Canis lupus familiaris: one gene and its partners. The protein of the gene in region 7 interacts with the protein of the main gene of each other region in a pairwise test. Links are inferred from orthologs where the notes say so. Each region holds a gene or a part of one and is shown on either strand. Other genes may lie near its edges.

Region 1 (4,247 bases), on a different chromosome or scaffold from region 7:
GACGTGGGATTCAATCCCAGGTCTCCAGGATCGCGCCCTGGGCCAAAGGCAGGCGCCAAACCGCTGCGCCACCCAGGGATCCCCGTATTTTTTTTTTTAACTCAACTGAAATTTCTGACATGTATATGACCCTTACATTTCATTAAACTGCACTAGGCAAATCTTGAGATTAACCAGATTCTCTCTCCACTTCATAAAGGCAACAAATCTGGTAAGCACACCTTCCAGATAGGCTGTAAATACTGTATATAAAGAAAAGGGATACAGACTCAACTCGGCAGAATCCCAACTGCAAGTTGTACCCATAAATCAAACCCCTCCAGACATAGGTGCTCAAAACCATGATTCCATCCAATTTCACCACAATCTGGCAAAATCCCCTAACTCACCCACCAGGTCATCATAAAAGACTTTAACTGATGCCTTACTAAAATTCGACACACTCTCATTCTATTCCTTTGAGATATCATTTGAATGTCCTCTTCTGGCAGAATTTATAACTCTAGCAACCCTGCTACTCTGGCTATTAAGAACAGAAAAATGACACATTTTCTACTTTGCATTAATTACAGCACCTCAGGAATCACAAATACTTTTTTTTTTTTTTTTAGATTTTACTTATTTATTCATGATAGACACAGAGAGAGAGAGAGGCAGACACAAGCAGAGGGAGAAGCAGGCTCCATGCAGAGAGCCCAAGGCAGAACGGCTCCATGCAGAGAGCCCAAGGCAGAACTCGATTCCGGGACCCCAAGATCAGGCCCTGCCTGGGCCAAAGGCAGGCACTAAACCGCTGAGCCACCCAGGGATCCTCCCCCCACAAACACTTTAAACATTTTCCAGTCCTTTGTTTTTTACACTACAGTTCTTTAGCGGTCAGACACATTAGCAGTCAATTTGGTGAGTTACAATCAACTTTTTCTGTTTTAATGAAATAGAAAATGTAAACCAGCATCCTATGCAGAAAGGGTAAACCTTTGGGAGGGGTGTGTGTGTGTACCCTGTGCATGCTGGGAGCACATTAAGTCATAATGTAATAATGTATCCAGCTGTTGGTCCTGGGTCAAAAAAAGTTTGAAACACACTTTGCTAGTCCCACAGGCCTATCAAAAAAAAAAAAAAAAAAAAAAAAATTCTTAGTAGTCACAAAGTTCATTACTTGTAACCATCTTCCTTCCCTACAGAGAAACAAACAGGAATTTTGAATTGAGTACATCTAATCTGCCATTCACCAATCAATCAATCAATCAAGCCTGGGTTGAACCGCTCAGCGGTTGAACGTCTGCCTTTGGCTCAGGGCTGACCCCGGGGTCCTGGGATCGAGTCCCACGTCAGTCTCCTTGCAGGGAGCCTGCTTCTCCCTCTGCCTGTGTCTCTGCCCCTCTGTGTATGTGTCTTTCATGAATAAATAAAATCTTTTAAAAAATAATTAAAAAAAAAAAAAAAAAAACTAGAATCCACCTGAGGTTTCCAGGTGCAATACTAACCTGCTCAGAGACAATTCTGTTCTGATGGAAGTTAAGACCTGTATAGGGCAGCAGACCCGCGATCGGTTTAGTCTGTGGAGAGGGGAGAGAACAAAAACCACTGATTCCTCATCCGTAACCGCGGGAGAGGGCTGCGGGGACCCCTCCCGGGTCTGGAATTGGGAGAGATTCATTGAAAACCGACTGGCCAAGCGCTGTGCCCCGCCTTGCACAAGCCATTCGACGAGCCGGTTACTACTGATAAAAATTCACTCGGTTATCACACAAAGAGCGCCTGCACCTGGAAAGAATCACGAAGCCGCGAACCTGGCCGGTGTCACGTCCTCAGCCGCCCTTGCGCCTGAGACCCCCCCAACACACCTCCGCCCGCAGGGGCTTCGGCTCAGGGACGTGGCACCGGCGCGCGCAGCTCCGAGCCACCGCGCTCCATTGTGCAGGGCGACACCGGGCAAGGAGCAAAGAGTGGGCGAGCTGCCGCGGCCGTGCCCGGGCGAAGCCGAGGGCCCCCGCGCTCACGCTCCTGCGGCCCTCGACCTGCCCCCCCAACCACACCCCCCCCCCGAGGCAGCGCCCCGCACCCGGCCCCCAGCCCGCGCGCGCGCCTCCAGGCACCTCTACGAGGCCTGGAACCGCGAAGCCAAAAGCAAAGCCGCCCGGCAGCCCCGGAAGCCCCCTCCCGCCAGCGCCCGCCGCCCCGCCGCCCCCTCGCGCCCACCTCCACGCCGGCCGAGCGCTGCCTCCGCACGCCGCGCCCAGCGGGGCCCGCCACGCACCCGCCGACACCGGGAGGCTCGACGGGCTCCTCCACACCCACCCCCGCAGCCGCGGCCGGAAGCGCCCCGCGTCTCCACGCCGCCGTCGTGAGGTCACTTCCGGCGCGACGCCTTGGAACCCCGAGGGCCGGCGGCGCGGGGCGGAGCTCCCGGGAAGGCTCGAGCGGGATCAAGATCCTGGGCGCGCCCTCCCGCCCGCGGGCACGGGGCTCTGCGCCGGTTCCCGCCCTCCCCCCAGGCCCCCGAGGCCTGTCGCCGAGGACTGTCGCCTGGAGGACTTCGGGGAGGAGGTGGCGCCCGGCGACGTCGGCCTCGTCGACTCCGGCAGCCGCGGCTGCGGACGCAAGGAGTCGGCCCCGCGACGGATTAAAGGATTAAAGGTTCCCTTCGCGGTTACCCGTCCGCGCGCGTGGGCTCCGGCGCGTTGGGGCTCAGCGTTGGCCGGACGCCCCCGCTCCCGGTGCGCGGGGGGACGCCGTTCCCCGGGGCCTCTGCGAGCGGCGTCCTGGGGAATTGGAGACCTGGAGGGCTTGCGAGGTCATCGCGGGAAAGCCCGAGACCCGGCTTGGGAATCCCTGCGCGGGCAGCAGGGCGGTTACGAACGTGGCTCTGCGAAGTAAGGGGAGGAGTTCTGTAAAAGCTCCCTCTGCGGGGACTCCCCACCCTTCCCTTATCGCGAGAGATCCAGTTTTAAGTCTGGAGGGACCCCGGCCTGTATTTTTTTTTTTTTAAGATTTATTATTCATTCATTCATTCATCCATTCATTCATTCATTCATGGGACACAGAGAGAGGCAGAGACACAGGCAGGGGGAGGAGCAGGCTCCATGCAGGGAGCCCAATGCGGGACTCGATCCCGGGTCTCCAGGATCACCGGCCTGTATTATCTTTTTTTTTTTTTTTTTTAAAGATTTTATTTATTTATTCATGATAGTCATCATCAGAGAGAGAGAGGCAGAGACACAGGCAGAGGGAGAAGCAGGCTCCATGCACCGGGAGCCCGATGTGGGATTCGATCCCGGGTCTCCAGGATCGTGCCCTGGGCCAAAGGCAGGCGCCAAACCGCTGCGCCACCCAGGGATCCCATGCCTGTATTATCTTAAAGGTCTTTACAGTCGATCCTTTACACCCTCCAGATCCGGGAGCCCTTAGGGTGTGAAGCTCAGGGTTGAATCCTAACTCTACCTTCTGTTTTTTTGTTTTGTTTTGTTTTTTTCCAGAACAGCTGTGCGGCTTGAGATGAACCTGAGATAGCTTAAAAAAAAAAAAAAAAACTGCTGTGAAATGTGCACCTGAACCTGATTGGCATTCCTAAAGGGGTGATTAATTCTCTTGTGTCTTTTTTTTTTTTTTTTTTTTTTGGTTAGGATTCTATACTCCAGGCCAAATAACTTTTTTTTTTTTTTAAGATTCCCAGGAGAATTAGTTGTAGAGGCCACTTTTAGGCAACAGGCATAATAAGCACTTGGAAACCTGAGTCGGGCAGAGGTGCCCACAGTGACCAGGGGACTGAATGCAAACAGACTCATTAGGCGACCCACCTGAAAATAGCCATAGACCTAAGCTGAGGAATGGGCTACCTGCAACCGGGCACAGGTACCCAAACACGAAAATTCCATGTTCCCATCCCTCCTCACCACCTCCTAAACTACAGCCCAACACTGCCTCCTGACAGTCTCTCCTTTGCTTTCCTGACCAGCTAACTGGAAATTCAATAAACTTCTATCACCTTTGTTCTGCCTCAGGTGAATTCTTTTACCTCTGATGCCACCAGCCTCCACCCAATCTGGACACACCCACATCTGTCTTCTCCACCGCAAGCACTGCTGTAGCCCAGAAGTCAACTGAAGGTTATACCTAACCGTAATCCCACCATCTTGCACAGTGCCTGCCAAGAGTAGATGCTAAAATGTGTGTCTGTTGAATGAAAGAACTGTCCCTAAGACCACCTCAACAGACTTTGCCCAGAGTTCAAACTGGAAGACTTT
Region 2 (3,500 bases), on a different chromosome or scaffold from region 7:
CATTTCCAAGTGTTGCTTTAAATATTGGAGTAAACAAGATAACATCATTGATTATAATACTGGAGTCACATTATAGCCTTGAGAATTAGCATCAGGACTGACAAACTGCATTCATTGTTTTTTCCCCCAGAACTACATTTTCACATTGTCACATGAGTCTACAGTGTTACATGTTCGCAGACTGAAATCATAGAATATGTAGCTTACATATTCTGATATTACATACACTGAAGTTACGGAATATGTGACTTCTACAAGGTAAAACAGCCTCAACACATTGTAAGACTTGTTTCTTCTGCTTATCATTTGCTATTTTGAAAAGAAATCAGTTAAAAACAAAGTGTCTGTGGAATATGTATTTTTCAAAGTTGCTTGATATGCTTGGCAAAAATAAAACTTTCATTTCGTATATATCTGTATTTTAGCATCATTTACACAGTAAACTCTAACACTAAAAAAAGGAAAATGTATATCTCTTATTTACTTGGAGAAGATAAACTTTTTACAAAAGGAATGGAAAAGAATATGCCAAGTCAACGTAAAATTTTAAATATATCCATCAAGAAAATATATATTTTACCCTTTCCACGATTGTTAGCTTTTGAATAAGAATGCAAAGCAGAACAGGTACGGACACTTGATGGCAAACGACAGATTGGTTTTGTGCACAGATATTGAATGGACCTCTCTCTTTATCAGCATGACATGGAAGACTTAGAAACAAGGCTTTGAGAGGATTTTAAAAACAAGTGGTCTTTAAAAATGGAAAGAATATGGTAATCTTGCTGACTAGGAAATATATGTAAATGCTGTTGCAGCTACCTGCCATAAAATGTAAGTATCTTAAAGTAGTTAAATGACCAGATTGCTAATGCTACTACAGAAAAAGCTGAACAGCTGTCTAGTCTAAATTTATCACCTTGGTGCACTCTTTGCAATTAAATACTTTAATGCGCACAAACAAGAAACCAGTAAAGCATATAGAAAAATGTTTTGGCTAATGTTTTCTTTCTCATGCAAATATGTGCTGTACATGTAATAAATATATTTCGTTTGCTGGAAAATGCTCTTCTGTGCTCTAACCAAGTATTCAGTAATGGCAGGTTATATGTTTATTGAAGTGTCTAATGGATGCAGCTGTTTCAAATGTCTTAACTGAAAGTTCTGTAAGCTTCACTAGATGACAAAAGAACCTCACAGGCCAATATCACATGTTAACCTTTACAACTGACTGAGCCCGTATTTCCGATTGTGTCAAATACGTGAGATAACTTAGACAGTTACAGCTGAAGAGGGTCACGATGGACTATGCATGGTGAACAGGAGGGGAGGGAATGTGGGACGTCATGACGCGGTTCAAGGTGTGTATCACAATCGAGAATGTGGAACTTGGTTTCATGGGTCAGGAAAATCATTTAACTGGTGCATGCTCTGAAAGCCTAGAGATTGAGAGGCTTGGGAGGAAAATAGGGTAATAGAAATCAACTATTATTGTCTTCAAAATATAGGCCTCCTGACACGTGCCAGTAGAAAGGTATTTTTACGCCTGGTCCTACTGGGGCTTTAGAAAAACGCATGCGTTGTGGACTTTTAGAAACAAGAGTCTTTTCTGAAAGATATTTGCGTATTGTATAAAAGGGTCAATTTCAGTAATCCCTTGGATCATAGTGAATCTAAGGCTTCCTTGATAATAGAAGACGAAGGTCACCAATTTCATAATTATAGCCACTGGAAAAACTGTCAAGACTTAACAGGTGAACAGGACTGTTCATTAGAAATAAGGCAGCTCAATCTCCAAATTCTTTATAATTCTAGACAATAAAAATGCTGCAATTTTAATTACGATTCAAATATACTCTGAATTTATGAGTTTACTTTTTATTGCAAGCTTTTAAATTCATCATTTGTTTTCACATTTTTTTTTCATTTGATCATTTTGTATAAACACAGCTTTCGATATCAAAATTGAATGATTCCATGTAAAACAGGTCGTTAGCATGACTATAAAGAATTTGGGGAAGGGCTAGAACATTCACATATTCGAAGACAGAGACTGAATGGAGCAATGGAAAGATATGCAATTGTGCTGGCAGGAAATACCGGCCCATGTTTGTGGGAAGCTGGAGAGATGAATTCCCATCTGGAGATGTTTAGCTTCGTGCTCAGGAGGATCTGTGCCCATCCTCACTGACTTCAGGTTCCTGGATGTATGTGGTTGTGCTCAGAGCCAGGAAAGGGGAAACACCCCTTTTCCACTTCCCGTGACCACCTATGATTGGGCTTCTCTATAGTGTTCTCTCTCACTGCTAAAGAAAGTTTGAGGTTTTTTTTTTGCCAACTTCAAACAAGCTAACAGTAGTGACTAAACAAAAAGCAAAACACTTTGAATACAACAGTTGTGCCAGTAGAGAAACAAAAATATTAAAATCTGAGGATAGTGTATAATTTCTGAATTAATTTGAGGTGGGTTTTTTTTTTTTTTTGGCACTATCAATACATTTGGTGAGTTTGAAAAGCCATTATGTCTACATTAACATATGTTAAAATGTTTATACATTTCAACTTTAAGTGTAAATTTAGCTTCCAGCAAATAAATACCATATCTGGTTTTGGCTTCTTTCGGTATTTTGATTTTTTTATTAATTAGGTTTTTGGTTGTTTTTGTGGGTCTTGTTTTTTTTTTTTTTTTTTGGTTTTTTTTTTTTTTTTTTTTCAGATTTTTAAATTGACTGCAACATGCTCAAGTAGACTTTCTAGTCGATTCACCCAAATTCCAACAGGAATTGGTTTATAAATTGGTTCCAACTGGAACTGGTCATTTGGAATTTCCAGCATGGGAAATTATTTTATATGTGCCTTGATAAGTACCCTAAATTACAAATCGATGTGTCTAAATCTAATGAAGAAAACAAAAGGTACTGTTATGTAAATGCTGAGCTTAAAAATATCTATATGACTGGGCATCTAATAACCATCTAGACTTAAGGGCATAACGTACTTTTTTGTTGTTGTTTTTTGCCCCTTGCTTAGCATCAAATGACAACAGCCCACAAGCACAGTAAATACCGTGCTGTACTTGCCAAGTTAAGATGATTGGTTTATCCTAGCAGTGCTATGGCAAATTGTCAACAGATGAATTTTTTGTTTGCTTCTGCAGACTCAAAGCCTATGTCGGGAGTCATGGCTATATCCCCCAGGCGATCCTCGGTTCCTATGGGGTTTGTAAGTGTCCTGGTATGAGTCAGGGTAATCTTCTTCCACGAGAGGGTAATGATCTCGGCTATGCTGGGAACTGGAAGACAAGCGGTTCCTACTCTTCCGAGCCCTCTCATTGTGATAGTTTTCATCAGAGGTCATTAGACTTCGTCTTTCAATTGGAGAGTTCTCCGTGGAGTGGTTGCTGTGCCTCATACGCTGACTCTAAAAATATCAGATCGTCCATTGATTAGATCGTGTCAACTTAATTCACCTAGAATATGCAAATGTATGTGCAACAGTAG
Region 3 (3,135 bases), about 4.0 Mb from region 7:
CAGGCCAAGTGCCTGCCGGATCCCACCTCTTCCTGAGCTTTCACTGGTGCATCTCCGAAGGAGACCCGATTAAAAACCGCATGTATGCAGGTGCTAAGCGGGGGCATGTAAAAGGCGGTGGAGGTTCTGTCCCATGCTGGGGGGCAGAGGGACGGAAGATGTATGGGATGCTGATGTATATCAGTGCCAAGGGAGATGGAAGCACGTGCAGGGCTGGAGAGGAAGTAAGGACAGGGGAGGGCCAGCAGAGGGCTTTCCCCAATACATGGGATCCTCAGCCCTTCCTGCTCCCGGCCTCCTCCACGATGGGGTCCCAATCCTGGGGCCTGGAATTCAACTTCCCGAACTCTCTGTCCCTACCATGTGTATAAACCACCCCAAACTATCATCCTGCCAGCCACCATTCCCAGAATGTAGGTGCCCTACAGACAGGGGCTTTGTTATGTTCACAGCCTGGGAAAAGCAGGCACTTATCAAGTATTTCTTCAAGTAGAAGGATACAGTGATTAGAAGCATGGACTCTAGAATCAAAGTGGCCTGGGTTCAAACACCAGGTCTTCAGTTTAGTATCAAGTCACTTAACCTCTCTGTGCCTCTGGCTCCTAATTTATAAAATGGGAGTAACAACAGCATCTACCTCACAGGGATCTAAGGACAATTACGTGAGTTGACACATGGAGAGTACCAACTCCCAGCAGATGTTAGGCACTCAGTACAGGTAAACAGAACTTATTATGTGCACAGTGTCCTTCAGAGGCGGATACTACACCCATCTCATAGATGAGAAGCAAAGATTCAGAGAAGGGAGATGACTTGTTCAAAATATACCTTTCAAAGCCCAGCCTCTCACATCCCACACCCTTTGCTAATGCTCTTCTCATCAGAACTACCCCTTCCTTCCTCTGGTCATCAAACCCACCCTCAAGAGTCCCCTTACTTGCAGAGCTGAGGGCCAGTGCCCCGGGTGAGGACAGGGGTGGCAGGCACACTTCGTCCCTCAAAACTGGAGGCACTCCTAGGCAGCGAGCGCGTGGGGCTAGACAAAAGACGGGCAGGCCCAGGTGAGGGCCTGGGTTAGAGACCATACCCACCAGAGCAGCCCAGACCATACCCACCTCCTGCCCCAGCTCAGGCTCAGGAGCCCACTCCCAGCTCCCTGGGGAGGGAAGGGGCTCACCCTCACCTGGTGGGGCTGGCCACAGAGTTCCGCCGGTTCTTCAGATCCCCATAAAGATCTGACGGCGGTGGTTTCCATGGGGTTCGCCGCTCGGGGCTGCCCCCAGACACTGCCCGAAGTTGGTCCCAGGCCTTGGGTGGCGAGGGGCGCTCGGCCAGAGGGAAGCAGCCACGGGGCTCCTCTGGGAGGAAGGCAGCAAGTAGGGGAGAAGTCAATGAGAGAGACCCTGGGGGGCTGCAGGCAGAGGGTGGGGCAGGAACTAAGGCAGGAGGCTGGAAATGGGGATGATGAGCGGGTCAGGGTGATGCAAGAAAGATGGGGGGCCCCGTGTGAGGATGGGGTATGGCTAAGAAGGGGTTAAAGAGGGAGTGGAGGGGCTGAGCATCAAAGGATGGGTGGGCTTGGGGCACAGGGGTCCTCACCATTGTCATGGCTGGCCCCAGACTCTGAGAGGGAGCTGCTCTCTGAGTGCAGAACTACGTCTTCTGTAAGTGAGAAGGGGGAGACCCGGGCCTATCAATGCAAGGCCTGGGTGCCATTCCCTCGCACCCCTGGATGGTCTCCTCTCCGCCCTGTTCCTTCCCAAGAACCCATCTTTACCTGAATCCAAGACTACCTGAGGCTTGGCTCCTGGTTTTCCTGGTGCCATCTGGCCAAGTTCCCAGTGGCCATACCCTTACTGCAGGGCCAGTCTATCACAACTCCTCTCCCGGGTCAGGTCCCTCAAGTCCCACCCAGCTCCCCACCTTTCACTGGCTGGCTGCCTACCCCACCCCTATCACGTCCTTCCACCCATGCCCACTCTCCCGCTTTGACCTGTGTGAACACAGGGCTGGCTCACCTTGGCTGAGCTGAGCAAGGCGTGTGCCCAGGCAAATTCCTTGGGCAGTGATGACTGGCCCGGTAGACAGGGGTAGAGGCTGTGGCGGTGGGAGTACCGGGAGGCCCAGCCGGGCCCGGAGGTCCCCAAGCTGTTCTTCCAGCTCGTGCAGCCTCCGCAGCGCATCTGCCTGGACCTGGCGCCGGCGCCGGCGCTGCTCAAGGCTCAGCTCGGGGGCCAAGGCTAGGCGGCGAGCCGCAGCCGCAATTTGCTGCTGTACTGACACTTCACGCTCCAGGGCCTCAAGAGCCAGCTCCTGCGGGGCCCACCCAAGAGGGCAGGATCGGACCGAATGTTCCAAATGGCCAAGCATGGGGCATGGGGGGTGAGGGGTGGGGGGGGGCAGAGGCTGTCTGGGCTGGAAGAGGGGCCTATTCTGGGGCGGAGCTCATTTCTTCTGCAGGTGGTGCCTGTCCTGGTTAGGGACTAAACATACTCATCTTCCCCAGGTGAGAGGCTTATCACAATGACGATGATGCAGGGGCCCAGCATCTTCCTTCAGAGCTGGAACCCACATCCCTCAAGCCATTCTCTTCTCACCTTAGCCTCTCCGCCCCCCTGGCCACAACTCCAAGGCTGCCCAACTTCCTCTGGGCTCCTCCTCTGTACCTGGCCCACCCCCATCATGCTCCCTAGGCCCCTCCGTTCACCTCAGCAGGGCATAAGGAGTGGTGTGCAGGGTTGGGGTGCGAAGGAGGGTAGCCTCGGGCTGCAGGGGGCCGCCGGCGGACCAACTGGGGCCGTTCACCAGGCTCTAGTGGACACTCAGGGGGCAGCTGGCCAGTCAGCTCCTGGTGGGGGCAGGGGACAGAGACTACCAAGGGTTAGTTGGGGGAATGGGGCAAAGCGGTAATGACTCCAGAAGTCCTACTAGGAGCTCAGCAATGTTCAGCTGCCCATGCCTGTTACTCCTCCTTCCTCTCCATTCTCCACCCAACAGGTATGCTGTGGACTCTCAGCCCTCGATGGCCCAAATCCCTGGGGCAGTGGGCATGGGAGGTAGGGAGACCCGCTTTGGAATCCAGAATTCTTTATTCTTTGTAAAGGCGACCCAGTCTATACACCACACATTCTGTAA
Region 4 (4,169 bases), on a different chromosome or scaffold from region 7:
CTGCCCCTGCCTGGTGAGCACAGCAGCCGGGGGACTGGAAGGCGGGGCAGGGCTCCTTGAGGCTGGAACTCTATTGCCAACAGCTCCAGGCACACACTTCACTCTCCCAGACCCCACCCGACCAGGCACAGCCACGGACATCCCACACTGCATACACACTAGATCCTATAGGCTTTGGAGGGTGGCTTGCTCCCTGGGCAGGGCTGAGGAATGTGGGCTGGCCCCACCCCCTGGCCAGGAGCCCCTAGGTGCCCAGGCTGGGCTCTGCTCCCCACCCTCCTTGGCCATCCTGCTGCCCCACCCCGGCCTGACTGGTTTGGGAGCCCGATCCAGTCCCTACCACCCCTGACAGGGTGAGTAGGGGAGGTAGGTGGAACCACCCACTGGGTTCTCTGCCCCTGTCATTCTGGGCTGTCACGTGGAGCTGTGCATTGCCTGGCAGCGGTTTGGGGGTGACAAATCCAGGGCCCTCTGGGCCCTCGAAGGTTAGGACACACTCGTTGGGGCAGACATGCCTTTATGGGGCTGTAGAAAAGCAGACAGGGTGGCGGTCAGCAGTGGGGAGGGGATAGCGGGGGTGTACGGCCATCCGGTAGGCCGCCAGGATCTCAGCACTGCATGGGCACGTGTACTTGAACTCCTTCACCTGCAGCGCGCTCTCCAGGTAGCGGCGGACGCCGCACAGCTCAGCGGGTATGGGCACTTGGCGGAAGTGTGTACATACCGTCTGCCGGCAAGGGGCGCGAGGTCAGGGCCTTGCAGGAAGCACCCCCCACCCCTGTCCCGCGTGTGGCACTCACATCCATGATGTACAGCTTGGGCAGCAGGCTGCAGTCGGCCAGCGTGAGCTGGTCGCCGTCCAGGAAGCGGCGGCGTGACTCCTGAAGCTGTGGCTCCTGTGCCAGCTCGTGTTCAAGGGGCCTGCGCAGGTAGCCGTCCAGTCTGGTGAGGGCGCGCAGCAGCAGCTGGTACAGAGCTGCGGGGGTGGGGTGGGGCACTGTGAGGGCCGGGCCAGGCCAATGTCCCCCTCCCACCCCACGGCTCGAGACCCTCCTCACCATTGTCCTGAGCGGGCACTGGGTTCTTGATGAACGCGGAGAACCTGTGAAAGACGTCGTTGCCTGCCGTGGTGGACTCCCTGTACCGAGGTGCCAGGCTGGGGAATCTGCAGGGGAGCCAGGGAAGCTCCGGTCAGACCCTGGTGTCGCGCCCCCTTCCCCGCCGCACCCTCAGCATTTCTCTAGGGCTCCTACAGGGAACCCATATTCGCCCCTGCCGCCACGCACTCAGGTGGCCCCAGTGTCTCCTCCAGAAACTCTTCGATCTGCAATGTGTCCGTTTTGGCGTCGCCATCGTAGAGAAGGATAGGCAACTGCGAGCCGGGTGCAAAGTCCTTGAGCACATCCAGGGACCTGTGGGCATAGGCAGGTGGGGAAGCTGCTGCTCAGGAGGGCCAGAGGCCCAGCCATGGTCCCCTGGGGGCAGGGGGCTCACCTGCGAGTGTCCACCGTGGTGAGGGTGAAGGGCACACCCTTGAGCAACAGGAGCATGAAGAGCCGCTGGCAAGAAGGGCAGTGTCCCACGCTCTCACCGTCCTCGCTGGCCTGGGCGGGTAGGGTGGAGGGGGCCGGGGCAGAGGGTGCCAGGGCAGAGAGCAGACCTAAGAATTTTGCCAGAGAGGACCCTGCCTACCCCCGCTCTGTGCCTGGAGCTTGGTCGGCCACGCCCTCAACAAGTGATGGGTGAGAGCCCTTGACTGGGTCCCTGGTGGGGGGGCCCAGGGACATGGCCCCTGGGGACCCTTATCTCCAGCACCTGGGCAGAGGCCAGCCTCCCGGTCTCCAGGCCCTCCAGGCTGGTCACGAGGGCAGGGTGGGCCGAGTACTGTTTTCTGAGTGATTCATGCTGCCAACTGGACACTGGCTGGCAGCACACTCACTGCCCCACACCCCAACGATGGGGGAAGGCCAGGGCTGGCAGCCGGTGCACAGGGATCCACAGCCCCGGGCAGTGATGCAAGCAACGGGGGTCACCCGGCCCAGCCCCCCTCCTGCAGCGCTGACCTCCACCCTCACACGAGCCTCGGCTGCCAGCTGCTGATCAGCACCTCCCCACTGAGGGGCTTCGCCCCCGGCTTCCCCTCGCATGGCCTTCGGGGCGGCTCCCCAGGCCCTCGCCCAGTCCTGGCCCCTTTCCTCAGCCTCCACAGGCAACCTGCATCCAGTGCACACGCAGCCTCTGGGGCCCACTGCCTGCCCCAGAAAGCCGAGCCCCACTGAGCATGCTCCTCCCCGGGCCGCCTGCCCGCCTGCCCACCCACCCGGTGGTACCTTGACAAACAGCTGGAGCTTGGCAGTCTCTGCCATGGTGAGGAGCGCAGCGCGGTGGGAGGCAGTGAGGCAGGGGTGGGAGCCTGGGGAGCCCTTTAAAGCTGGGGTGCTCCGCCCTCCCCAGCCCAGGGCCCGCCCCACCGAGTCATCCCCCCTTGCAGGCAGGCCAGCCGTTGGGGCTCTGGGGCCTGTGTCCAAGTGCAGGGGTGTGACTGGGGGGCTGCCGGTGCTGCGGCCCCAGGGGGCTTTGGGGGTTCAGAGGTGGGGAGAGAAAGGAGCCAGCCTGGGCACAGGGCTGCCCTGGATCAGGATCAGTCCTGCCATGAGCCCACGGCCCTCCCTGCAGTGAACACCCCACTGTCCACTGGGGTCCCCAGCCCAAAAAGCTGAGGAGTGAGTAGGAGAAGCAAACACCCTAGCCCTGGCCTTGGTTTCCCCATCTGTCTACCTCCTGGGCAGGGAGGCCCCTCCCATCACTGAGCTGGGTCAGCCCCGCCCCTGGACCAGCCCACATTCCAGGAGTGCTGCTGGCCTGCCCAGGTGCCCCTCCTTGGCCAGCCACACCCCCTGCCGTCCCTACCCTCCCAGGGGGTCCCAGGCAGGCTTCCTCCACCTTAACCTTCCCCAGAAGCACCATGAGAAGGTTTAGGAGCTACAACCTCCAGCCCATGCGTCAGCCTGCTCACGGTTGGCTGGAAGGAACCTCTAGAGGACGTTGTGGGTACCCCCTAACCTGTCCCGCCTGTCTGGTGGCTCACAGTCCTGGGTGAGGGTGCCCCGAGGGAGGGGCCTGCCAAAGCCTACGCTGCCCCTCCACACAGCTGGGGACCTGCCTGTACCTTTGCCTCCTCCCTCCGGCTCCCCCTTAGGCACCAGTGCCTCTGCTGCTCCTCCACAATGGGGTGGGGGCTTGGCCCACTCACCTGCTGCTCCGGGCGCATACACCCCAGCCCCAGGGAAGGCCCAGGGCCCCCTCCACACCTTGTGCATGCCTGCCAGCCGTCCTCTGGGTATTTCTGTGTGTGTAAAAATAGCCCCGTGCATCTGTAGGTATGATCAGGAGATGGACCAGCAACCAGGTAGCTCAGAGAAAAGGAAATACACCGACACTGACAGAGTGAATGGGAGCATGTCTCACTTCACACTTATTTCAAGAGACAAACTAGGACAGGACCTGGTTCGGGGCTGCAGCGGGTAAAGATGTGGCTCTGTACTCAATGAGGGGGTGAGAAGCCCCCCTCAGCCCGGGGACACATCAACGAATGCGTGCTGTCCCCTGGGCAGCATGGCCCCATCTGCAGGAGGGACCCGGTGACTTCCTGGGACAGGACACAGGTGGTGAGTCTCTAGTCTCGGGTTGGGTGATGTGGCTGAGTTGTGCCCCTGCCATCCACGTGTGAAGTCCTCGCCGCCTGGGCCTCAGACAGAGCCCTGACAAGCCATCCTACTGATATGGGGTTATCAGGGCAGGCCCTGCCCCACTATGACTGTGTCCTTGGAAGCGGGCAGTTTGTTTAAGATTTTATTTATTTATTCATGAGAGACCCAGAGAGAGAGAGAGGCAGAGACACAGGCAGAGGGAGAAGCAGGCTCCCTGCAGGGAACCTGATGTGGGACTTGATCCCAGGGACCCCGGGGTCACGGCCCTGAGCCAAAGGCAGACACTCAACCCCTGAGCCACCTGGGCTGCCCCGGAAGCGGGCAGTTTGGATGCAGACACACATGGATGCCATGTGTGGATGGAGGCCAAGGACAGGTGGTGCTGCTCCAAGCCCGGGCCACCACCACAGTGGCGACCAGCCCTCCCCAGCCTCGATCTTGGACTTCTGGCCTCCACAT
Region 5 (3,500 bases), on a different chromosome or scaffold from region 7:
CAATCTGTTTGGCCCATTGCACAAAGAAAAGTGTCCCCATGGCATCTTAATAATAGGATAGGCAATATCAGACTAATCGAGTTTACCAGAGAGGCAATTATGGCATAATGATAAAGCACAGCACTTGGGAGCCAGAGAGCTAGCTTTAAGTCATTTTCATTACTCTACCTAAAGGATCTTAGGCAAATTAACACTTTTTTGTTTTTTTACCTTCCCTCATCTGCTGAGTTTTGAAAATTCAATGAGCTAATGTTTACAGAAATGCCTAATGCCAATATTCAGTAAGCAAATAAAAGGAAAGGCCCAAATAAGTCAGTGAACAGCAAAAGCATAAGATCAATGGTTTTATAATGCCCTTCCAAAGGAAACTGCCTTTAATTTGATATTGATAGCATCACAAATCCTTTTTCTGGTACTCAAACTAATCACAGATGGTGATTAGATACTGGAAACATCAAAAAGGCCACATAACCCTGTCCACGAAGATTATCACAATAAGCCTCCCTAGGTAAGCGGTCACCAACAAGTATGGTGATGGTATTTTCTCTGTGATGCCCTGGATTTTGAACACATCCCCCAACTGTGTCTCTTTTATCATTAAGGTTATGTCAGACACATATATAACAGTTTTTAAAGGATTTTATGTGTTTTCCTTTATATCACACTTAAATCTGATGATATTAGTTTTGATGATCAACTTTAATTAAAAAGGGCAGAGATTAGCAGCTCTCATAACTCAGATGGATTGAAAGTTCAATTAACTGCTGTTGTTAAGTGCTCACAGTGTCCACCTACATTCCAGGCACCATGCTGGTTGTGGAGCTTGTAGAAATGAAGATGATCTACGTTCTGGATACCCAAGTTCTCCTGGAACTCTCAGTAAGTAAGAGCAAGATAAGAAAAAGGTAACTTGGAGCTAATTTGTATTGTCTATCTTCTGATAGAAGAACCGTTTTATGTGCCTGGAAAAAGATCAGCCTGTATGCCTGTACAGTGCCTAGGGTAGAGTATACCAAGGTGGGCTAAAAAAAGCATTTTTTAATACCTTAACATCTTCCAGATATTCAATGTCTGCAGTGCAATATCCATCTTTCATTCCTCTTTTTAAAACCCTAAACCGCTTTCCTCCAACTGTATCAACCACAGACCTTCCATCAGGTAAGAAATGTACATTCCTAATTTGTAACATACAACCATAATCTGCAAAACTAAAAGAAAAATTCTGATTAATAAAGTTCAAGCAACAAGCATGCAAGTTCTCAAAATTCAAAGCAAGTTCTAACATAAAAATATTCATGTACCAAAAAAGCATACCTATTTTGTGTATCGCTGACACACATCCCAAACTGTTTAGTTCCAGTTTGTATACTTCTTCGAATCATCAATCTGTATCTTGGCTCAAATACATGAAGAGGGCAAGGCACAGTGGGGTAGGCCATAGTGCAAACAAATATTGGAACATTCTTGGTCAAGCTGAAAAAGAAAAAAGTTTCATTATCACACATCAGAACATAAAACAAAAATGAAGTCTGCAACACTGATAAATTAATATAAAAAGTCGGCAAAAATAAAAGTCATCTTATTTAGAGCTAAGATTTAGAATCAACATCTCCTTCATTAAGCTCACACAGATGCAATGCTAATACTAAGTCTGTGATCCTTTTATAAAAGTAAATCTGAATTTAAGATACCAGGTTATCATACAGAGCTAAATTATCTTTACAGATAAGAAGTAGTGTTAGTATTATGTATTAAGAACCTGTTTAAAATATTTGTAACATAACAGTTAACCTTTTATCCATAAAATACTCTTACTTATAGATAAGAAAAAATGAACTCCCACAGTCAAGAGCAAATTGTTAAGCTTCTTTGTAGGGCATTAAAGTATTTTCAAATGCACTATCAAAAACAGATAACTTGGTAACTTTTTCTTCTGCTAATTAGAGAATATTTCTCACTGCCAGATTGCCAGGAAATAAGGATAAAGGCAACGCCCGGTTCTGGCAAGGGTATGGGGGAAAATCTGGCAATGCAGAGGGCAATTTGAAACAGAACCATGCTGAAGAAAAATTCGACTACGTGCGTCAAAAACTTTAAAAAGTTCGTATCTTTTGAACTCCTAGAAATAATCCTCCAAGGATGTTTACTGTAACACTGACATAACCATAAAATGAAATACCGTATTTTCATGAAAAGATATACACTTGTTGACTTGGGAAAAAATGAGATTATAGACCAATATGAATAAAATGATCCCATTTTTGTTTAAAGTGTATTTATAGATATTAAAATCTGGAAGGAGATGTGCCAAAATGCCCACATTGATTCCTTCTGGGTTATAGATTATGGCCCCTCACCCTGCTCATTTATAATATTTTCTAGTTTTTCTTCAAAAAGACATATGTAAAAGTAGTATTTAATAACACAAATGCTAGTTCCTCTTTTAAAAATGTGTATTCTACTATCACTGAGCACTCTACATGTCAACATAAGAACTGATAGAAAACCAAACAGTATATCTATTAGCAAAACTTTTTAAGTACCAGGGGATGAGCTATCCTTAAAAAAAAAAAAAAAAAAAAAGCCTGTTAGTAAGCAGCAAGACTCTCTCAAGCAACTGGGCATCACGCTCAGCCCCCCTCACATTACTACTCCATCTATTATTTGCAGATTCCACCCTTCTGCAGAGTCTCTATTTTTCAGATTTCAGAAGTAAATCTACTGCTTTCTTATATCCAGGCTTTTTGTAGTGTTGATCAAAAAGGTTCATAATCTTCCTATCAGAATATTTTCTATCATAAGATCACAGTGAGTTCCATTGAAGACAAATCAGTATCGGCTTCAGTCAAGAGAAGATTGGAAAGCATTCTACTGAAGGCCACTGGCCCCGTGAAAGACAGTTGGTGGACATGTATTAAGCTTGCAAGCACAATTTTTTCTTAGTAAGAAAAAATAATGGAGACAAAAAAAAAAAAAAAAACAACAAAAACCAGCATGTAAGATTTGCAATTCTGTCCTTTAGTGTGTCCAGTTAAAAGAAAGTGGGCAAAAGAAAAGTTAAGAAATGAAATACCTACGTAAGAAATTTAAAGAGATTCGTGTAGCTGGAGCAAGAGGGAAAGACACGAAGGTTAAAGAAGGGAAGAAAAAGACAAGGAAGAAAGAATACAGAGCAGCAAAAGCAAGTCCAACCTACCCATCCCCACCTAGCCACTGGGTGCTCACCCTTCAGAGTGGTCTGTACCACTATTGCCCAAGTTACCTCCTGGCACTAAATCTACCATTCAATAATCTTCACTAATTGAGAATTTGGCCCCTAAGTCACTCCTTCCGATTTCAGGCTCAGGCCTCAAGGGCCCACCTGCTTCCCAAGCTCTAATTGGCTGATGCACCTGCCAATCTGGGCCATTTCTCCTCAACCCTCCTCCTGCCCTGCCAGGTACCTGAGGCTTCCCTTCCCAGTTCCACTGCCTGATGTCACTGCAGGAAATCCCTCCTCC
Region 6 (3,500 bases), on a different chromosome or scaffold from region 7:
ATCTGAAGCAAATCTCAGAGAACTGCAATCTTGGTGCCAGAATCTTTTTCCATCCTAGCAGTTTTTAATCTACTGTTTGAAAGAGTGGGCAAAATTGCCTTTGCAAAATGATGTTAATCTCTGTGTGTATTTTGAGAATGACATTAGATGGCCTTATATATAAAACTATCAATTACCAATACTGCAAGATGCTAATATGTAAGGAAGGATTTTAAATTGCTTAAAAATCCACCAAAAAGTATCCAGTTTTTGTACTTTCTGAAGAAAACATTTCTTAATTAATTCAAAAAAAAAAGAAAGACACAAAATGACTATGAATTGAGACTGAACATTAGGTAGATATTTCTAAATTATTTCTCTTTAGAATATATCAACTTCTTCCTTTTAAGCTGAGTCTGTTTCCAAAGAAAGACCTCCTTATTTACAGTTTAGAACAAGCGAATCAAAGCAAAGATTATGGAAAACTGCTAGGAAATTTATTAGAACAAATAAAATGCTGTATTCAACTTCACATAAAATCTGTGATATGAAAAACATCAAGGAAGGCAAATAAAATGATAGGAACAAAATCTTTTCATTCCATGTTTGTGTTGTAAAGAATTTATACTACAAGAAAATCACCCTCATAAAATTATAAAAAACTAAAATAATTTCAATAAAATACATTTAAACACTGACTACACAGCTTGAGTTCCTTTAAAAATAACCATCAATCTGCCAACAGACAGAGACTACTTTAGGCTTTGATAACAAAAAAACAAAATCAAAGACTAATGAAAATCGTAAGTGGTTAGAACACAAATGAAAAAGGGAATATGTCAGAGTAAAAAATGTTAAAGATGGAAGAATATGAGGACCACGAGGAAAGAAAGCTCTTATAACTGTTCTATTGTCTCTTTTGCTTTATGCTCTATGTCATTGATGTGATTTGCTGACCACAGTATAAGTTAATCTTCTGCATCATGTTTGTTTAGACTTCCCCAAGTGTGTCACAAAAGAACCTTCTAGATGGATCTTTAAAAAACTTCTATAAAATGTCAACAGGCGAGAAAATTAATATACTGTTCCTCACAAACTTTTCCTTTTGGTCTCTTTTACCTCAGTCTTATGTAGCACGCTTCAGTTCTTACTTTGGGGGAAGATATTTCAATCCATACTGATAACTAACAAAATGGTATAGTAAGTAAATGACACAATACTGGTCTATTAAATTTAGACAGCAACTTCCCTTGTTAAATTAACTCAGTGAACTAAATAAGCAGTATTTTCATTCAAATATCAGAATACATTTGTCAAAGAGTAAATCAATTTCTAAGCTATTTTTAATAAAATTAAGAATATCATCAGTTTAACTTAATTCTAAGCCTTAATAAAGTCATTACAGGTAGTCAAGTGAAAAAGAAAACAGAAACCTGAACCATTTGGTTTGTGACACTAATTTAACAAACATAATAAAGAACCCCTTAGGACACAGTCTAGAATTACAACATTTTCCATTTGAGCTCCTGCTGCCTTTCGCATTTATGGAAAGCATGGCCGGGAGCGTCCCGGGAAGGATACGATCAGTGCCTTGGAATATCACACAACCTTTCACCAGCTCTCCCATGATGCAACCCACTGACCAGATATCAACTGAAAATAAAATGAAATGACAAAATTATGAAGTGCCATGAACAAAACAAAGGTGAGGAAAAGGAATTCTAACAGTGTACTAAACACACAAAAATGGAAAAAAATTTCTAGCTAAAGGTGAGCTTTTTACACAGTGTGAATGATTGCTGGCTGCTACTTTGGCCTTCAGCTTGCAGCAATCTGGGCTTTAGTGTCAAAGATTCCAGTACTTTATGGCTGAAAAGACAAACAAAACCCCAGAAAAAAGAGGTGCCTGTCCCCACAAAGCTATCTGTAGGCCACATGCCCTCCCCCCATGCCCACCCCGGTGGCCATTGCGGGGGCTCTCCCTGTGAAGGATACAGTCTCTTCCTGGAAACAGGACTTTATGGAGGACCATTTCTGCCATGATGCACCCGACAGACCAGATGTCCACTACCAAACACCAGGTGATTAAAACCAGCCAGAGACCCCCATGCATCTTTCTCAAACCCCCTCCCAACAAAGACAAACCCAGCTTGTCAATGGGAGCTTTTGTGAAATACGGACACAATGCTTCCTAAGTAATCCTCTGCTAAACTGCCATGTTGGCAGGTCTTCACAGGGGTGGGCTTGCTCATCTAGGCTTCCTTGGGGCCCATCAGAACCCCAGGCCTCAGATGGCTGGACAGAGGGCTATTTAGTACCTCTCCTTGGCGCTGGTGGGAGGAGCCAACAGGGCCAACACGTAGCCACAGAACCGTGTCTGTCAGGCTGGGAGCACTGGTTACAAAGCACGTATATCTTAAAGCATGGCTCAGTCCAGATGACCTGTGCAAACTTTCAGACTCAGCAAATAACTGTGATTGAGCTCTTTTTGACAAATTTGTCAAGAGCTCAGTTACAAAGGGCTCTGGTATCGGTAGGGTAAGTTTTAATGTTAAAGAGCCAGTCTTAAACAAAAGAGAACATGTATTATTCCATTTGTACCAAGTTCAAAAATAAATAAAACCAAGTTTTGGCCCCACGAACTAGGATAATGGCTCCCTTTGGGGTTTGAGACCTGGAGAAGGTCTGGGGAGGTTCCGGGTACTGCTGGCGGTATGGGTCCACATACTTCTCTATACTAAATACATTATACTTTGAGAAAATATTCGTTTTGAAAGTATATTTGTAGATATGGGTGACTTCTGCCAGTGGAGACGGGAGATGAATGACTTCGAGTCTGTGGGCCATGACAACCTGCGTATAACACAGCCCCCACGTGGTGTTTCCTCTGGCTCAGGGGACCTGGCTAGTGGTGAGCTGCAGCCGCACAGGAGCGCCACAGCCTCTGCCGGTGCTGCCCACACTCACCATTCTCTTTGTAGCCCATGCCCAGGATGACTTCAGGTGCCCGGTAATAGCGCGTCACCACGTACGGTGTCATCATGAAGTTGGTGCATGCCGTCCGGGCCAGGCCAAAGTCAAGGATCTTAAGCGTGCAGTCTGATTTTACTACGATGTTGCTAGGTTTCAAATCCTAGGGCAGAAATGGTTTAAATGAGTGCAACAAACCAGAGCATGCTAAAGAGACAAGCTTGTGTTGGTGGGGATTTGTGAGGCCGGGGTCTATGGAGGTACCTGAGTCCTGGGACACTGAGGAGGGTTAGCAATGAACCCTGTGATTTGGGAAAACCCTACTCTCTCAAATTAAAATGAATACAAATCAGCCTGCAGAAGTCAGATGGCTGCCCTCATCCCTGTGTGAGAAACTTCATGACATCCCTTTCCTTAAAATTTCCTCGGAGCTGCCACAGAACCCACTTATCCCTCCTCCCACCTGTTCATTCTTCAGTTCCCAGCTGTCCCACAGAAATCTAATGCAAGCCACACACATAATTTACATACATTTGCTTGTAACCATCTTA
Region 7 (3,500 bases):
TTTTCACATTTTCACCTAAAGTCTAGTTAGCTAATATACAGTGGAATATTGGTTGCAGGAGTAGAATTTAGTGACTCATCACTTACACATAACACCCAGCACTCATCACAAGTGCCGTCCTTAATGCCCAGCACCCATTTAGCTCATCCCCCACCCACCACCCCTCCAGGAATCCTCAGTGTGTCCTCTATCATTAAGAGTCTCTTATGGTGGGTAGCCCGGGTGGCCCAGTGGTTTAGCGCCACCTTCGGCCCAGGGCCTGATCCTGGAGACCTGGGATCGAGTCCCCCATCGGGCTCCCTGCATGGAGCCTGCTTTTCCCTGTGCCTGTGTCGCTCATGAATAAATAAATAAAATCTTAGAAAAAAAAAGAGTCTCTTAAGGTTTGCTTCCCTCTTTCCCTTTTTCCTCTTTCTCAGACCTATGTTCATCTCTTATTTGTCTTTCTCTGACTGACCTATTTTGCTCAGCATAGTACCCTCTAGCTTAATCCATATTGTTGCAAATGGCAAGATTTGATTATTTTTCATGACTGAGTAGTATCCCATTTACTTCTTTATCCATTTATCAGTCAGTGGAAATTTGGGGACCTGGACCCTCTTTTTTTCCATATATATATATTTTATGATTTTATTTATTTATTCATGAGAGACACAGAGAGAGAGAGAGGCAGGCAGAGACAGGCAGATGGAGAAGCAGGCTCCATGCAGGGAGCTCGATGTGGGACTCGATCCCGGGACTCCAGGATCAGGCCCTGGACTGAAGGCAGCACTACACTGCTGAGCCACCTGGGCTGCCCCATATATATATATTTTTAATTGAAGTTCGATTTGCCAACATATAACACCCAGATTCTGTTTTGATATCTTTTTTTAAAGCTAAGTGTAGGGTCATTCATCTGTTCCACCTCCTGACCCCAGTAGAGTTATTCTTTAATGTTGTAAGCATGCAGCCCTCCTGAAAAATATATATTGTTGATCCTGGAATATTTAAGGTGAAGTCCCTGTGGAATTATACCTGTGTATATTGGCATATGAACAGATTTATAGTTTGGGTTTATTTTTATTTTTTCCAAATGCCCTAGATGAAAGAGCCTAGATAAACATAGAGTCTTTACAATGAGAAGAGAGAACCTAAAAGAATGGATCCATATGAATTACCACCTCTTGCATATGGCTGCACTCATTCACTCACAGTTGGTATTATATGATAGCGATTACGGATGATGATGCATTTTATTAAATACAGAGAGCACTGTGCCATTTCATAGGTTTATGAAGAAAAAAAATCTTTTGTGCCAGGAATAGAGAATAAATACCAGGAACAGCCAAGAAATGTTTTAACTAATTTCCTTTCAGGTTGGGAAAATAATTTTTGCATTTAATCCCTCGGGGAGAAAGCTCTTCAATAAATATAGCAATCTGTGGAAAATTAGGAGTTTAATAAGAGGCTTTTATATTGACTTTAATGCATTTACTTCTCCAATGTTTGCTACCTTCAACTATAAAGTTAAAATTAAACAATTTAACTTAAACTGAAAAGAGTCCCAATGGTATATAATCAATAATGCATTCCTTAAAGGCCTTAGAATGCCAAAGAAATATTTTTCAGTTGATGAAAGTAGAGGTGCCATAATTTCATTTAAATATCCAGGATGTAGAAGAAGGGTAAGAGCCCCTGGAAGGCCACGATGTCTCCCCCAATCTTGCAGTTAGTCTGTACCCAGACTGCCCTGGACAGATAGAGGATTCTGAGAATTGACAGATACGATTACATAAGCTGACAGGGGACTCCTTCCTTGCCAATGAGCACTTATATAATGATCCCGTTTGGCTACATCAGATAGAATGAGGGCAGTTTTGCTCCCAAGACAGGGCCGAGAACATGCAAATAGAGTCACACCAAGAAGATCATAGAAGTAGTGGTACCTAGGCTGGGCGACAGAACCCATGCAGCGGTTCTGGGTGGCTTGGGAAATTCTCCATTTGCTCTGCTCCTGTCCTTCCTGATCCTTGATCTATAAAGCTTTGGAGTAAAATAAAACTGTGATTGTGTTTCTTCCCTTTTACTTTTACAAAAATCTTTGGATGAATAAGAAGGATATACAGATAGGAATTCTCAGCAAAAAGATGAGCAGGTTTTTTTGGGGGGGAGGGGGTTGAGATATAATTAACATAGACTCAGATGGATAAGTCTTAAGCATTAGATCAACAAGTTTTGGAAAATGTATGCAATTTAGTAAGTGACAAATCAAGATATGGAATATTTCCATCACCCCAGAAAGTTCCCTTCTCCCCCTTTCCGGTCAATCCCAGAGGCAATTACCATTCTAATTTCTGTCACCACACATGAGTTTTGTGTGTTCCTAAGAATTTTAAGTCTTGGAGAAAAACCAGTTTTCAAAGGCGTCATAGAAGTGTATTTTAGTGTATTAAAACACTGCTTAATATATTTTTTATATAAATTTATTTTTTATTGGTGTTCAATTTGCCAACATATAGAATAACACCCAGTGCTCATCCCATCAATGTCCCCCTCAACACTGCTTAATATTAAAAGCTTCCTACTACTTGACTGTAATTTTAAGGTGACAGCTGGCTGTAGATGTATATATATCTATGTCATTAGTCAGTTGACCTTTAAAAAAATATCACAGAATAGTTAGTGGGAAAGGTATCTTTACGTTCTTTGATTGCTTGCATCCCAGAAGTGATCATGCACAACTGCTGTTCTTGACTTTTTTTTTCCCTTTTCAGACTCTAGATTGCATGAAGCCTTTACGCCCCTATGAGTCCTTTGACACCCTGAAGCAGTTCCTTGAGTATGATAGGAAGGTTTTACGTTTCTTCTGCCTATGGGACGACTCAGCTACCCTGTTTGGGGACCGAAGGGAGCTCATTCTGCATTACTTTCTGTCTGATGATACCATTGAAGTCAAAGAAGTGATGCCACATAACTCAGGCCGGGATGCTATGTCATTATTCCTCCAGAGGAGAAAGCTACCCAAGGTGAGCAGCAGACCCAGAACCCCTTCCCGAGTTTACCTGTGGGCTGAGAGACTCTCGCCACTCACTGTCCAGAATGTTATGGGTTATGACTATGTCATGACTATGTGTCACTTATCATATATGAGTACAGGTGTTTAAGAAACCTTCATTTTGTGCTATTAATACACATCTATGAAAGTACCATAGAGGATATGACAAATCAGGGTTGGAATATTCTGGGTTTAATCAAGGCAAGTAAAGGAAAAAAGTGAAATGCAAGAGAAAGTGCATATTCATCGAGTTCATAATCAGTCTTCTGAAAGTAAAAGATTCTCTAGTTAATTGTTTGTGGGGCACCTGGGTGGTGCAGTCAGTTGAGTGACTCTTGGTTTCAGCTCAGGTCATGATCTTGGGGTCCTGAGATCAAACCCCATGTCAGGATCTGTGCTCAGCGCAGTCTGCTTGAGATCCCACTGCCCCTGCCTCCATAAATACATAAATAAATCTTAAAAA

Evidence for each region.
Region 1: the proteins of EFHC2 (region 7) and EDC3 interact in binary tests that used the Homo sapiens proteins (3 or more experiments, as listed by UniProt). The link is inferred for Canis lupus familiaris from reciprocal best matches to the Homo sapiens genes EFHC2 and EDC3.
Region 2: the proteins of EFHC2 (region 7) and voltage-dependent L-type calcium channel subunit beta-4 interact in binary tests that used the Homo sapiens proteins (3 or more experiments, as listed by UniProt). The two-hybrid records come from large-scale screens. The link is inferred for Canis lupus familiaris from reciprocal best matches to the Homo sapiens genes EFHC2 and CACNB4.
Region 3: the proteins of EFHC2 (region 7) and CCDC120 interact in binary tests that used the Homo sapiens proteins (3 or more experiments, as listed by UniProt). The link is inferred for Canis lupus familiaris from reciprocal best matches to the Homo sapiens genes EFHC2 and CCDC120.
Region 4: the proteins of EFHC2 (region 7) and CLIC3 interact in binary tests that used the Homo sapiens proteins (3 or more experiments, as listed by UniProt). The two-hybrid records come from large-scale screens. The link is inferred for Canis lupus familiaris from reciprocal best matches to the Homo sapiens genes EFHC2 and CLIC3.
Region 5: the proteins of EFHC2 (region 7) and LONRF1 interact in binary tests that used the Homo sapiens proteins (3 or more experiments, as listed by UniProt). The two-hybrid records come from large-scale screens. The link is inferred for Canis lupus familiaris from reciprocal best matches to the Homo sapiens genes EFHC2 and LONRF1.
Region 6: the proteins of EFHC2 (region 7) and MAPK9 interact in binary tests that used the Homo sapiens proteins (3 or more experiments, as listed by UniProt). The two-hybrid records come from large-scale screens. The link is inferred for Canis lupus familiaris from reciprocal best matches to the Homo sapiens genes EFHC2 and MAPK9.

The regions. Positions count from the first base shown.
Region 1 is NC_049251.1:38,207,579-38,211,825, forward strand, and holds the start of EDC3 (enhancer of mRNA-decapping protein 3), read right to left. Parts: upstream 2,801-4,247; 5' UTR 2,658-2,800; exon of another isoform or gene 2,652-2,657; intron 2,333-2,651; exon of another isoform or gene 2,203-2,332; intron 1,560-2,202; 5' UTR 1,488-1,559; intron 1-1,487. UniProt on the Homo sapiens protein: Binds single-stranded RNA. Involved in the process of mRNA degradation and in the positive regulation of mRNA decapping. May play a role in spermiogenesis and oogenesis.
Region 2 is NC_049240.1:54,751,282-54,754,781, forward strand, and holds part of voltage-dependent L-type calcium channel subunit beta-4, read right to left. Parts: intron 3,421-3,500; coding exon 3,160-3,420; 3' UTR 1-3,159. UniProt on the Homo sapiens protein: The beta subunit of voltage-dependent calcium channels contributes to the function of the calcium channel by increasing peak calcium current, shifting the voltage dependencies of activation and inactivation, modulating G protein inhibition and controlling the alpha-1 subunit membrane targeting.
Region 3 is NC_049260.1:42,416,817-42,419,951, reverse strand, and holds part of CCDC120 (coiled-coil domain-containing protein 120), read right to left. Parts: intron 2,849-3,135; coding exon 2,708-2,848; intron 2,314-2,707; coding exon 2,019-2,313; intron 1,663-2,018; coding exon 1,600-1,662; intron 1,359-1,599; coding exon 1,184-1,358; intron 1,037-1,183; coding exon 938-1,036; intron 1-937. UniProt on the Homo sapiens protein: Centriolar protein required for centriole subdistal appendage assembly and microtubule anchoring in interphase cells. Together with CCDC68, cooperate with subdistal appendage components ODF2, NIN and CEP170 for hierarchical subdistal appendage assembly.
Region 4 is NC_049230.1:48,633,792-48,637,960, reverse strand, and holds CLIC3 (chloride intracellular channel protein 3), read right to left. Parts: upstream 2,792-4,169; 5' UTR 2,367-2,791; coding exon 2,331-2,366; intron 1,605-2,330; coding exon 1,495-1,604; intron 1,413-1,494; coding exon 1,287-1,412; intron 1,166-1,286; coding exon 1,059-1,165; intron 977-1,058; coding exon 801-976; intron 728-800; coding exon 518-727; 3' UTR 501-517; downstream 1-500. UniProt on the Homo sapiens protein: In the soluble state, catalyzes glutaredoxin-like thiol disulfide exchange reactions with reduced glutathione as electron donor.
Region 5 is NC_049237.1:37,045,957-37,049,456, forward strand, and holds part of LONRF1 (LON peptidase N-terminal domain and RING finger protein 1), read right to left. Parts: intron 1,474-3,500; coding exon 1,315-1,473; intron 1,209-1,314; coding exon 1,046-1,208; intron 880-1,045; exon of another isoform or gene 803-879; intron 1-802.
Region 6 is NC_049232.1:1,729,426-1,732,925, reverse strand, and holds part of MAPK9 (mitogen-activated protein kinase 9), read right to left. Parts: intron 3,113-3,500; coding exon 2,947-3,112; intron 2,047-2,946; coding exon 1,975-2,046; intron 1,633-1,974; coding exon of another isoform or gene 1,561-1,632; intron 1-1,560. UniProt on the Homo sapiens protein: Serine/threonine-protein kinase involved in various processes such as cell proliferation, differentiation, migration, transformation and programmed cell death.
Region 7 is NC_049260.1:38,446,048-38,449,547, reverse strand, and holds part of EFHC2 (EF-hand domain-containing family member C2), read left to right. Parts: intron 1-2,756; coding exon 2,757-3,008; intron 3,009-3,500. UniProt on the Homo sapiens protein: Microtubule inner protein (MIP) part of the dynein-decorated doublet microtubules (DMTs) in cilia axoneme, which is required for motile cilia beating.